Caenorhabditis elegans: one gene and its partner. The protein of the gene in region 1 purifies or fractionates together with the protein of each later gene. This does not show direct contact. Each region holds a gene or a part of one and is shown on either strand. Other genes may lie near its edges.

The links.
Region 2: the proteins of drn-1 (region 1) and epac-1 purify together in Caenorhabditis elegans (affinity purification with western blotting, with the first as the bait; one study listed by BioGRID). This does not show direct contact.

What each region holds. Positions count from the first base shown.
Region 1 is NC_003280.10:5,269,609-5,273,560, reverse strand, and holds drn-1 (GTP-binding protein drn-1), read left to right. Parts: upstream 1-1,715; 5' UTR 1,716-1,749; coding exon 1,750-1,806; intron 1,807-2,060; coding exon 2,061-2,344; intron 2,345-2,397; coding exon 2,398-2,512; intron 2,513-2,871; coding exon 2,872-3,075; 3' UTR 3,076-3,425; downstream 3,426-3,952. UniProt on the Caenorhabditis elegans protein: Displays low GTPase activity and exists predominantly in the GTP-bound form. Together with epac-1, may regulate acetylcholine release at the neuromuscular junctions probably downstream of G-protein gsa-1 and adenylate cyclase acy-1.
Region 2 is NC_003281.10:10,187,341-10,195,251, reverse strand, and holds the start of epac-1 (Rap guanine nucleotide exchange factor 1), read right to left. Parts: upstream 6,041-7,911; 5' UTR 6,035-6,040; coding exon 5,911-6,034; intron 5,866-5,910; coding exon 5,789-5,865; intron 5,530-5,788; coding exon 5,383-5,529; intron 5,114-5,382; coding exon 4,718-5,113; intron 4,213-4,717; coding exon 3,988-4,212; intron 3,931-3,987; coding exon 3,839-3,930; intron 3,793-3,838; coding exon 3,436-3,792; intron 3,383-3,435; coding exon 3,165-3,382; intron 2,673-3,164; coding exon 2,569-2,672; intron 2,513-2,568; coding exon 1,626-2,512; intron 1,577-1,625; coding exon 1,486-1,576; intron 833-1,485; coding exon 629-832; intron 318-628; coding exon 210-317; intron 163-209; coding exon 76-162; 3' UTR 1-75. UniProt on the Caenorhabditis elegans protein: Guanine nucleotide-releasing protein. Together with GTPase drn-1, may regulate acetylcholine release at the neuromuscular junctions probably downstream of G-protein gsa-1 and adenylate cyclase acy-1.

The DNA.
Region 1 (3,952 bases):
TCCGATACACCCCTTGTGCCGTGCTCGAATACAAACGATTACAAAATTTTTTCCCAATCCCTGACATTTTCTTGAAAAAATTGTAGAAAAATCTGAAGCTTATGGCTCATGTGCTTCCACAGAAAAATGTCAACGTTTATTGCCATGTAACTATAGAAATTCGACATAAACCAAGTTTAGAAGGGGTTTAGCAAAAAAGAAAAGGGGGGACCTTGCCCAAAAAAAAAACAAAATAACATTACGAGAGCAAAGAAAATTTTATGGGCCGAAACGCTTTTTGTGTGTGTTTTCATTCTTTTTTCAAATCTTCTCCATTCTTTTGGATTTCTGTCAGGTTTCTTTTTTGGTAGATGGAAGAAGGAAAAGGAAGCATTCTTACCCCCAGTGATTTATAGAGAAATCGGATATTATTCAATGCTAGTACTCATATGTACGAATTCTATATTAGATTGAAAATATAAGAATGGGGGAGAAAAAGAGTAAAAGGTCAAAGAAAGGCTAGAAGTGAACATATCTAATTCCGTACATTACAGTTGGAACAGTTTTTCCTAAAAAAAAAACTAACGCCCGGATGCCCGTTTTCCTGATTCTGGGCGATCGTCTATTTTTTAGTGTTACAGAGGACTTTCAATAACTTGTTTGTCCAAATTTGTTTGTCAAAATTTTTTTCTGATATAATTCTCCGGTCATCCACTCCTCAATATTTCGTTTTGGGAAATTCCTCAAAAATTTTTCAAATTTACATAATTGCGGTAAGCTTGCAATGCTTGATCGTGAAACTTAACTTTCGGCAAATTTACTAATATTCACAGTTTTAAATTCACAACTTAGAGGGGGAGTACGGTCAGTGGGAAAATTATTTAAAATACGCCTATATGGTCATAATGACCGAATACCATGATGGAAAAATTCAGAAAATTTGTTCTAAATTTTATTTGATTTTTTGAAAACTGATAAAATCCGCTTTTTCCTGATTTTCACTTGAGCCACCAATATATTTCCGCCAATAAAGTTTCCGTTTTAATCTTTTAAAACAATTTCCCACTGGTTGCACTCTACCGTACCGTACCGTACTCTTAATTGTAAAATTCTTAATTTGAATAGTTCACAAAATCTCAAATTCTTGTTCAGCCCTTGCTCCTTTATCTGTGAAAATTGTTGCTACGTGCATCTGAGAAACCGGTCACAAGTTCGTAATGTTCCACCACCTCTTTTGAATATTTTCTCATCGGACCTCGTGGGTCCGTGTAACTCAAAACTCAAACTTTCTCCGTCTCTTTCTCTTGCCCCGCCCGAAAAAAACCTTTTTCTGCCCATCACTTTGTCCACTCCCTCTAGCAAAGTAAACTCAAAATAGGAGAAGCACTTTCCTTCCATACTTTTCTTTCCTTTTTTTCTTCTACTCGTCATCATGTTCTTTCTACTTTTCCTACATTCACTTTTGCCCCTGCTCCAATGAAAGGAAAAAAAAAGAAAAAAGAGAAGATAATTAAAAGTTGGTGTGGCAAAGAAGTGAGCAGAAGAAGAAAGTGGGCGGGGCGCGGCTCCTCGAGTCCATAGGAAATTGGACTCACTTCTCGTTCTTATTCAGTCCTTTTTTGTCTTTTTTGCTATATTGTTCTTTTTTCTTTTACTTTTTTTGGTGTTTGTATCTCTTTTTCACACTTGTCATCTTCACAACTTTTTGTTTCTCTTTGAAATGTCGTATTTTTCAGACTAGACGATATCGACCCAAAGGAGCCCAGTGATCTGCTGGATACTGATTTCAGCATTGAGGCCACAGCTGCAACCACGACGGCTGGCTCGGTTAGTTTTTGAGTTCGATTATTTATTGTAGAAAACGGTTTTATGAATAATTATTCGGCATATAAGGGCAACAAGCTTCGTATTAAAAAATGCTCTAGTAGGTTGCCAAATGCTCACATTTTTTCATAACTCCAAAAAATGTGCAAAATATCAGCTCTCAAAGTTATGTGAAATTCTATTTCAACAACTTTAAAACATTTAAAACAATGTAACGATTCAAATAGTTCATACTCTCATCGCTACCAAATTTCCAGGGAAGCAAAGTAGCCGAGGCGTCGACCTCGGACTACCGTGTCGCCGTATTCGGCGCGGGTGGAGTTGGAAAATCATCGATAACGCAGCGATTTGTAAAAGGAACATTCAATGAGAATTATGTTCCAACTATCGAAGATACCTATCGACAAGTGATCAGTTGCAATCAGAAGAATGTGTGCACTCTTCAAATCACAGATACAACCGGAAGTCATCAGTTTCCTGCGATGCAAAGACTGTCGATCAGCAAGGGAAATGCATTTATTCTCATTTATAGCGTTACGAAGTAAGTTCTAATGCGTTTTAAATAGATTATAATAAACTCGTTTCTTGTTTCAGTAAGCAGTCATTTGCTGAGCTAGTACCGATTATTGAAATGATGAAGGAAGTAAAGGGGAATGCAATTGCTGAAACGCCAATAATGCTCGTTGGAAACAAAAAAGATGAAGAATCAGTGAGTTTTATAAATGTTTAGCAGAAAACTTTTGAATGTAACATCATACTTATTCTTTAAAACACACATCAAGAAATATTCAAAACCTATAATTTAATAGTCTTTGTCAGTTTACTTCAAAAGAGTATATTAAAATTTGAAAATGGAATTTGAGGAAAGTTTTGGTGTCTTAAAAGTTACCGGAAACGGTACCTAAAACTCGCTCGTGAAGCTTTGGGAAAAATAATTTTCTGAATCTAGATCAAACTGAGAGCTGAGACATCTCAGGTAGCTCATGGCGGATAAAATATCACATTTTAAAAATAAATAACAATAAAAAATTAGAAAAAATCTGAAAAACAAAATTTGCAAAATTTCAGAAACGAGAAGTCTCTTCAAACTCTGGACAGAAAGTTGCAACAAATATGGAATGTGGCTTCATCGAGACATCCGCGAAAAACAACGAAAACATCACAGAACTATTTCAGCAGCTTCTTGCACTGGAAAAGAAACGACAATTGGCACTGACAATGGATGATCCAGATGGGAAAAATGGGAAGAAGAAGGGATGCCATATTATGTAGCCTGTATTTATTGTATTTATTTATTTGACTTTTTCAAAACTCTTTGATTTTTTTGAGTTTTGAAGCATGGGAATTAGTTTGAAAAGCAATAATGTTTCCAACAGAAAACGACTTAAACAATTCTTTCACTTCCAGATTTCACAGCTCTTGTACTTTGTATTCATATGTATTATTGTAGGGCTTCTATTGATTTCTCCATAACCCCGGTTTGCCTGAAATCTGTACAAAAAGTGCATTATATCTAGTGCTACGATTTCTCTTATTTTCTTATTAGATGGGTGGTTTTTTTTGTAATTTAATATTGGTCTGTTCCCGATACTGTTTATTTTGGGAATAAATGGGAATATTTTTTGAAATGTTGAACAATTCCAGATGGCTCCTTTCAGATTCTCTTTAGTCTCTCCAAAATATTGATTTTATGAGCCTTAGTTTAACAAAAAAAACCTTTTTGTGCAATCTCTAGGATCCGTCAAAAAAATTTGACGAAACATCATTAGAGATTGTTCCAAAAAATATTATGGTTCGTAATGTGTAGAAGCAAAATAATTGGAATAATCGAAATTATCAGAATGATGATATATAGTGGATTTGAAAAAAATTGAGTTTTTCGAGCACCACAATACCCAAACCTGCTCTAAAAACAACCAAAAAGGCTAGCTTCCAATAGAAATGATGTATTGATCCATTGACACTGGAAAAGTTAAAAATGAAATCCAATAACCACCACGGACCACGTTAAAAATCATAATTCAAATGAAATTTAACGGAGAGGCTTAATAAATAAAGCTACACGGAAAATAATTAAACAATATTTGTATTTGAACTTGATTTCATCTTGATAAGAACTGGTATAAAAGCTTGTAGTTTTAGTCATAAT
Region 2 (7,911 bases), on another chromosome or scaffold:
ACTACAAATTGACTAAAACATGATTAAAATTAATGGTAATCGAAAAATAAATAATAAATTAAATATCTAGAAGGGCTAATGAAAAATCACATTTCTTTTCGGTGCTGATTTCGGTTCAATTTCATATGACAGCTGCATTAGTTTCTTTTGATTATCGATTACCTGAAATAATTTGCAACTAAAATTTATTCAAGTAATTTCCAACATACTCTCAAGTTTCGAATTAAACTCTGTGGCTCAATGAATTCATGTTCTGCTCCGTTATCCATTTGAGATTTACACTGCCGAAAACTTCGAAAGATTTTTGCAAACATGTGCTGAAAAATTCTAATGCTTAAATATGGAGTTCGGATTTTGCAGATTTTTAAAAGAACTTTTAAAATCTCGAAAGATTGACACATTTAAAAAAAATCTTTTTGAACTTCCTCCAAAATAAAAAGCCACACCCACTTTCTCCCCAATCAGCATTTTCGAACTCAGCCCACTTTGTCTGATTGGTGCAGAAATGAGCAGAGAGAATCGCTGATTGGTTTTGCAGTTCTCATTTTGAAATAAGTTCGAAAAGGAAGGTGTTCTCGATTTTTTTTTTTGTTTTTTCTTTTGTATTTGAAAACTTAAAAAATCTCACCATTTTTTCAAAGTTCACAAGACCATTATAAAATGACTTGTTTCCCTGATGAATAAACATTAAATCCTTCAAAATTAGTGGAACAAATGGAATGTACGGTGATGACATTTTGGAGACAAGAAGTCGATACATTCGATGATTTCTTGTTGGATCCAACAGATTTTCTAGTTCTGAGAATGTTTTCAAAGAGGCAGGTGGTAGCTTCTGAAAAATTAGAACTTTAATTTTTGGACCTTAACTTTTGTAGAAGTATCGATTTTTTTAAAGGTATATAGAGTGGGACTTTTTAATGCGAAATTTGGGCTAAGATTAAATTGGCAAATCGGCAAATTGCCGGAATGAAAATTTTCGGCAAATCGGCAAACTGAGGTTTTGCACATTTTTTTTTGCAAATTTCAGAATTTCAACTTTAATAGGCAAATTGTACGCATCCTATAAATGTTCCTACATCTAGTTTAAAAAGTAAGCAAATTTTATCAAAACATCTAAATTAAACAACAAAAAAACATTTCAAAAAGGTACAGTTTTAAGTGTTTCCGTCTTTTAAAAAATCCCTCTAAACATTTCCGGAAAATCTGATAACTGGCAAACGGCAAATCTGTTATTTGCCGAAAATGAAATTTTCCGGCAAGTCGGCAAACCGGCAAATTAAAAACTTACGACAAATTGGCAAACCAGTAATTTGAAAATTTCCCGCAAAAAAATTGCCGAATGGCAATTGCCGCATTTTTACACAATCAAAATAAAGCGTTTTTGATTCGGATTTTCGATTTTTTTTTTTGGTTTTATTTTGTGGCATCTTTAAATTTTAGGCAGTTTTTCGTACTTTAAAGTAATATTTTCTAAAAAAAACTTACACTCCAAGTGAGAGTCAATCTACTAATTGATGTATGACTGAGTCCTAATGTTATTGCAAAAACTGTTAGAAGATCGCGATATTCTCGAGCACTGAAATTTTTTAATTTACACAACTATATGAAACAGAAAGAATACTCACATTGTTGCAATTGAGATAAACTTTTTCAAAATCTCCATTCGATTCTCTTCAGTAGCCAGAAGAATTTCTGTAGTCGACCAATGTTGTACTTCATTGAATCTTCGAACTAATAGATCAAGATTGAATGGCATACTTAATGGAAACGATTCTCTTCCAATTACTTGATACAGTAACTCATTAGAATCCGTAGATCTTAGCAATTGCAGGTGAAAAAGAAAAAGTTGATGCGCAAGCTCTTGAGAATCAATTAGATGAAGAATTGAGGAATGTGAAGATGGAGTTGGTCCGTTCTGATCTTCCATTGGAACAAGTAACGGAATTTCTTCTCGATTTACTACATATAGTTTCGAGTTTAAACTCAAAACTGTTGGAATAGCTCTATCATTTGGGCTGAATATTAACTTCTCTCCATTTGATTTTACTTCTACCAAATTTAAAGGTTCCGCAGAGAAGCTCATTCTTCGTCTCGAAAGTTCGCAAATCTCTTCAGCAGTTTTATCAACTCGAATCGGAAGAACAAAGCATGTTGTATCTGCCAAGTATATAATTTGATTACAAACATCTGATGGTAGAACTGGACACGGAGTATGTGCAGATAATACTCCACAATCTAGAACAATTGCCGGATGTCGAGCCAATACTAATTGCATATTTTCTCTTGTAGATCTAATCGATCCAATTCTTGTCAATATATCCTCCATTCCTCCCAATCGTTTTCTATCGTCAATAACATGACAAAACAGTTCTTCAACAAAAGAGTTTGTGACAGGATTCAGAAAAAAATTGACTCGCAAAAGGCTACACCATACATATACAAATTGTACGACCCTCCGCTTACATCGAACTTCTTCCGTGCAAGAATCGGTTATTGAGTCTCGAGTTGCTCTCTGAAATTTTTTTTTTCGAAATGGGTTTAATCAGTTTGAAAGTAAATAAAACATACATATGGTGTCCGAAAATAATACGATTTGAGAAAATTGCAGACGGTGTTGTCTGGCATGAAAGCGTCATGGGTTAAGATGAAGTCTTCGACAAAAACGTCAAGTTCTGAAATATAAAAAAATGCTTTGGGAGTACGGCCGTGTGGAGAATTTCTTTTAAAAATACTCGGACTGTTCGAAATACTAAAAAAAAATATGAAAAATCCACTGTCTATAGCAAACTTTACTTGCAAATACCGAATTTCCTCTATTAGTCAGAGTACATTATTTTGATAAGCTATATCTCGGTTAATTTGGAAAATATAGTTACATAGTTAATTACAAAGCTGAAAAAAAAGTACTTAACAATATTTTGTCAGTTGACAAGTTTTGTATAGGAGTAACGACAACTGAAATATAAGCTTTCAAAGTTGATCTATGGGGCGCAATACTATTTGAGGAAATACGGTATCTTGAATCTATGTGTTTTTAGAGATAACCCACTTCAATTAAATTGAATAGAAGAAAATTTGTTTTATTTTTATTTTTTCAAGTATTATATCAACCGAACAAAAGCTACATATATTATAAAATCAACGATCTAAAAACATCAACTTACCAGATATATCATCACCAAGAGCATCAATTCTCGTCTCCAAAACATATTCCAAAATCTTCTCCGCCTTTCCAGCCATTACTGAATATCCGCAGTTAAAGTTACAAGAATTCGAGTTTTCAAGTGCCGCCCCACGTGGAATGTCAACTTTCTCAAGAACAAGAACATCTTCACCATAGTCTTTTAAACGAACTGTATTTGCTTCCACTTGATGTAAAATTCTTCAAAAAAAATGTATTTAAAAATTTTTCTTATTCACAAATCTAAAACTTACTGATTAAAATGATGTTTGTCCACAACCAAAAACATTGAATCATCTTCATAAGTAACTATTGTTGCAGCCCTCGGCAAGTCATTCACCAGTGCAAGTTTTCCAAAATCATCACCTTCTCGCAGAAGACAAACAATTTTTCCATTCACATTCACTTCGACAGCTCCTTTTAGTACAATATACCAGTATACTCCAATTTCTCCTTGACGAAATACAACGCTTCCAGCATGAACATATTGTTCAACTTTCACAAAATTAGATAGTTGCCGTTTGACCATTGTGCTGAGATGGGATAGAGCTTTGATAAATGTTAATTCTTCATAGACCACTTCTAATTCTTCAGGACTTCGTTCAAAACCTCTGATATTTGAATATTAAGACTTTATGGCATTCAGGGAAAACTCACGGTTTTGAAACAATCATCAGAAATAAAGTTTCCGGTGCCACTGATGAAAGGAGTGTAATACTTTTAGAAACTTCTTCAATACTTGGTGCTACCTGTATTTTAAATCAAAATTTCAAAATTTCAATTCAAAAATCCTACTTAAATCCTACCTTATTCCTACTTCTAAACTGTTGAACCCATCTATAATACGAATTTGTTTTGTCCAAGAATTGGTGTTCACCATCAATATGAGAAATGAGTCCATTATTGAGAAGGACTTGCCAAATTGCGCTCATTTGTATTCTTGAAAGACTTGAACATGTGGTGGATGTTGATACAAAAAGCGTTAGAAGCCAGTCAATCATTTCAGCACCGATCATGCAATTTTGAACCCTCTGAAAGTATTACTGAACTGAATATTTGAATTTGAAGAATATTTGAAAAACGTCTCCTCGAGAGCGTAAATAAACTAAATTAAATTAAATTAAAGAACGAAATGGTGATCAATTTCTCAAATACATAATTTCTGCATTAAAAAATAGGCTCCAAAAAATAAAGAGGAAGTAGAATTTTCGGGGTTTTGTTTAAATATACTGAAAAAAACTTCCTTTAATTTTTTTTAAATCCAAAAATATTTATCATGTGACGTAGGGCAATTGAAAATACCGTCTCCATTTTGAGGGGTTTGGAAACAAAATTCACACAAAATTTGAAATGTTTTGAAAATTTTCATATTTTTTATGATGGAACAAGGGTGTCGTCGAAAATTTTCAAAAATTTTCGCTGTCGTTTTTTAATTAAAAAAAACGAATATTTTTCAAAAATTTCAATTTCTAGTAAACCTGAATTTTATTAGTTGTTTTAAAAATAGTTTTCTGTTGTTTTTGAAGATAAACCAACCGTATGCTCTGTTGTAATATCCCTAATAACTTGATGATTATCCGTTAACATTTTCCTATGCAAAATCCCTCCAGAATCCCGAATCTGTTTCTCTATTCCCGTTGGATTATGAAATTCGATAAAATTCCTCTCTTCATTTTTCTGTTGATTCACTACTACTCTGTTCATCGGCTTTTCTCTCTGATTTGGAATAGATGGAAGGATCATTTTTGACAACATCCCATTTGTAGATACCGAAACAATTTCCGAAGGATTAATTTCCGTTGAAATGAGATCCATACTTCTTTGTCCATTGAAAAGTCCAGAACTATGAGGGTGAATTGGGTCTGATGGGGTTTCATCCGTCAAAATATCGTGCATTATTATTATGAACGGTTGTAAGTGATCGCCATGTTTCTGAAAATTTACAACTGTTTTCGTAATTCTGTGTTTTTTCTCAAAATTCCATTAACAAAAAACTAGCCGTATTCTTGAAGAAATTCTTTTTTTTTTCTAACTTAAAATTTATCTTCATCCCACCCCACACGTAAGATTATAAGATTAGAGTCTTCGAGCACATTTCGTGCAATTTTTGAAAAAAAAACAACTCGTGTCATCGATTGTAAGGAGAGATAAGATGTATCCATATTTTAAAAAAAACGGCTTTTATAAGCAGAAAAACTTACATTATATACAGATAAAAAATGATTTTGAGCTATCCGAATCAATTGTGCAGGCCGGGTTACCAAGCACGAACAGGAATGTGTCAACGTTGAAAGATCACCAAAAAGTGCTCCACATCGTAATGTTTTCAAGTGATTGAAATCTCCAGTCTACAAAAATTTTAAACATTTGCAGTTGTATGTAATTTTGTCGTAAAAACTATGTCAAAATTTATTGGAAAATTATAATTGGAATACGTCAGTTAAGTTCAAGAAATGAAATTGTAGATGAACATTCTGAAAGCTTTTTGTATGTTCTTTCAACCTGGAACTTTTTTTCCAAAAAATAATTTTATTGAAAACTAACTTCCACTATCTTCCAAATCACTTTTTTTTGCAGCGACATATTTAAAAAGTACTAAATACTTACATATGTTTTACTATACAATTGAACTTCTCCGCTAAGTAGTAGATACCAGTATTCTGTTGGCTCATCTTTCTCGAATACTGAAGTTCAATTTAAATTCCAAAAATTTCCGAGATTCAACTCACATACAACACCTTGTTGAATACTATCCGGCTGAAAATCTGATTCAGAAAGCAACGAAATGAGAAGAGCATCTGAAAATGTGTGCAACGGAGATAATCGACGAACGCGGGATACTATCCGCTCCATCTGAAAAATATATATATGAATGAAGTTAAAAATAGTTGCAAGGAGGATAAAAATAGACACAAAACAAGGAAACAACGAATAAAATATGGAAAATGGGAGAATAAATGGGACGGGTGGAAGGGGAGAAGTGCAAGCATTTTTTCAACAGAAATGTCTTTTTAGATTTTTTTTTTTTGCTTCGGTGGTCTGGCATTTGTTCATTAATGGAACTGATGATAATTACTTGAAAGCTTTTAGTTTGGAAATTCACGAATTTGATTTAAAAAATCGAGAGATTGGAAAAATTTTAGTTAATCTACTCAATAAAGTTTTTAACCTTTTGTCAAATTAGATTTTTTTTTAAATTTCAGTCGAAAGTTTCCCGGAGTCTACGCAGATAGTTTTCAGGTAAATGGACATGTTTGAAAATTTTTTTAGTATTCCAGTTTTTCCAGTTTTTGGGGTCCACTAGAATACTTTTTTAGGTGAATTGTCAAGCTTTCAAAAAAATCCGCTTTTTGAAATTGTAGATATATCTTGTGCATCTTCGTGCATCTTCAAAGATTTGGTATAATTATGTAGAGTGAAAAAATAGTGGAAAATAGATAAATTTTTTGAAAATATTTGGGCTCCATCCAGAGTCCATTTTTCCGGAGTCCACTCAAATAGTTTTCAGAAAAATTGGACTTGAAAGATGTAGAGCTTTGTTGCATACAGAATTAGAATAATTAAAAATTGGGTAGAACATTTTCTTCGTAAATTTTCAGAGTTAATATTGGCAAAGACTGTTTGATTTGCACTTTTGACTGGAAAAAAAGGCTATAGTCCACAGAAAACTATTTTCCAGAAAGTTTATTTTTTCCAAATTTTTAATTGTACAATAAAGAATTAACATGAAGATGGAAAATGCTCAATTTTCAGTAAAAAATTACAAAAATATCTATAAACAAGTAAACTACTACAACTACCAAAAAGAATGAAAACAAACAAATTGGAAGTAATGCGAAACAAAAAATGAATGAGCGATCTGCTGAGCTCTCTCTCTCTCTCTCTTTCCATCTTTCTCTCTATATCTTCATCTTTTGCTAGCAGCCACTTTTGGTGTGAAGGGTGTAGAAGAAAGAGAAAGAGAGACCGAAACATAAAGACATAGACAACACGGTCTTCCTCCACTTCTATACACACTCTTCTGCTTCTTCTTCTCCTGCTGGCTTTCAAGCAACGGACACGGCCGAAAGCAGAAGCCGTGCAGAAAAAAAGAAGAAGAAGAAAAAAGAAAAGAGCTGTGGCCACACAAACAAATGGATGTTGTCTCTGTAGCAATGGCGGTTGGCTCCGCGAGAGCGCCGGAGGGGAAATTGGGAGACAAAAAGTTAATGCACTTGACAATACAGCGATATAATTCAGATTTACTGTGACGGGAAGATTGTTGACATGGGGAATAGGAAGAATGAAGATCTCAACGTTTTCGGAACAGTTGTACGATATGATTTTCCAGGGTACTAAAACATTAAAACTGTCAAAGGGGTACAGCATGTTGTCATCACTTCAAACTTTTCAATGCATAAATTTCTTGTCAGATCTGATCCTCTATACTTGAAGTTTATACCGATAAAGGTTTTCAACAGATTTTGAAGCATTTGAATCAGGGGTGCCTGGGTAAACCTATCATACGAAACTGCCAATTTGTCCTGTGAATCGTATCTATTAAAACAAGACTGAAAATAACTAAACTTCTACGTCAAAAAGTTGACAAAACAACTTTCTTGGAAAAAAAGCTGTTGGGATCCCGGAACAGTCGAAAGTCGGTGGCAAGCGCCGAACTGCTGACGGTCTAACCGGGGCACAAATCAGGGGTGAGCGGCAAACGATTTTTCCGGCAAATCGGCAAATCGGCA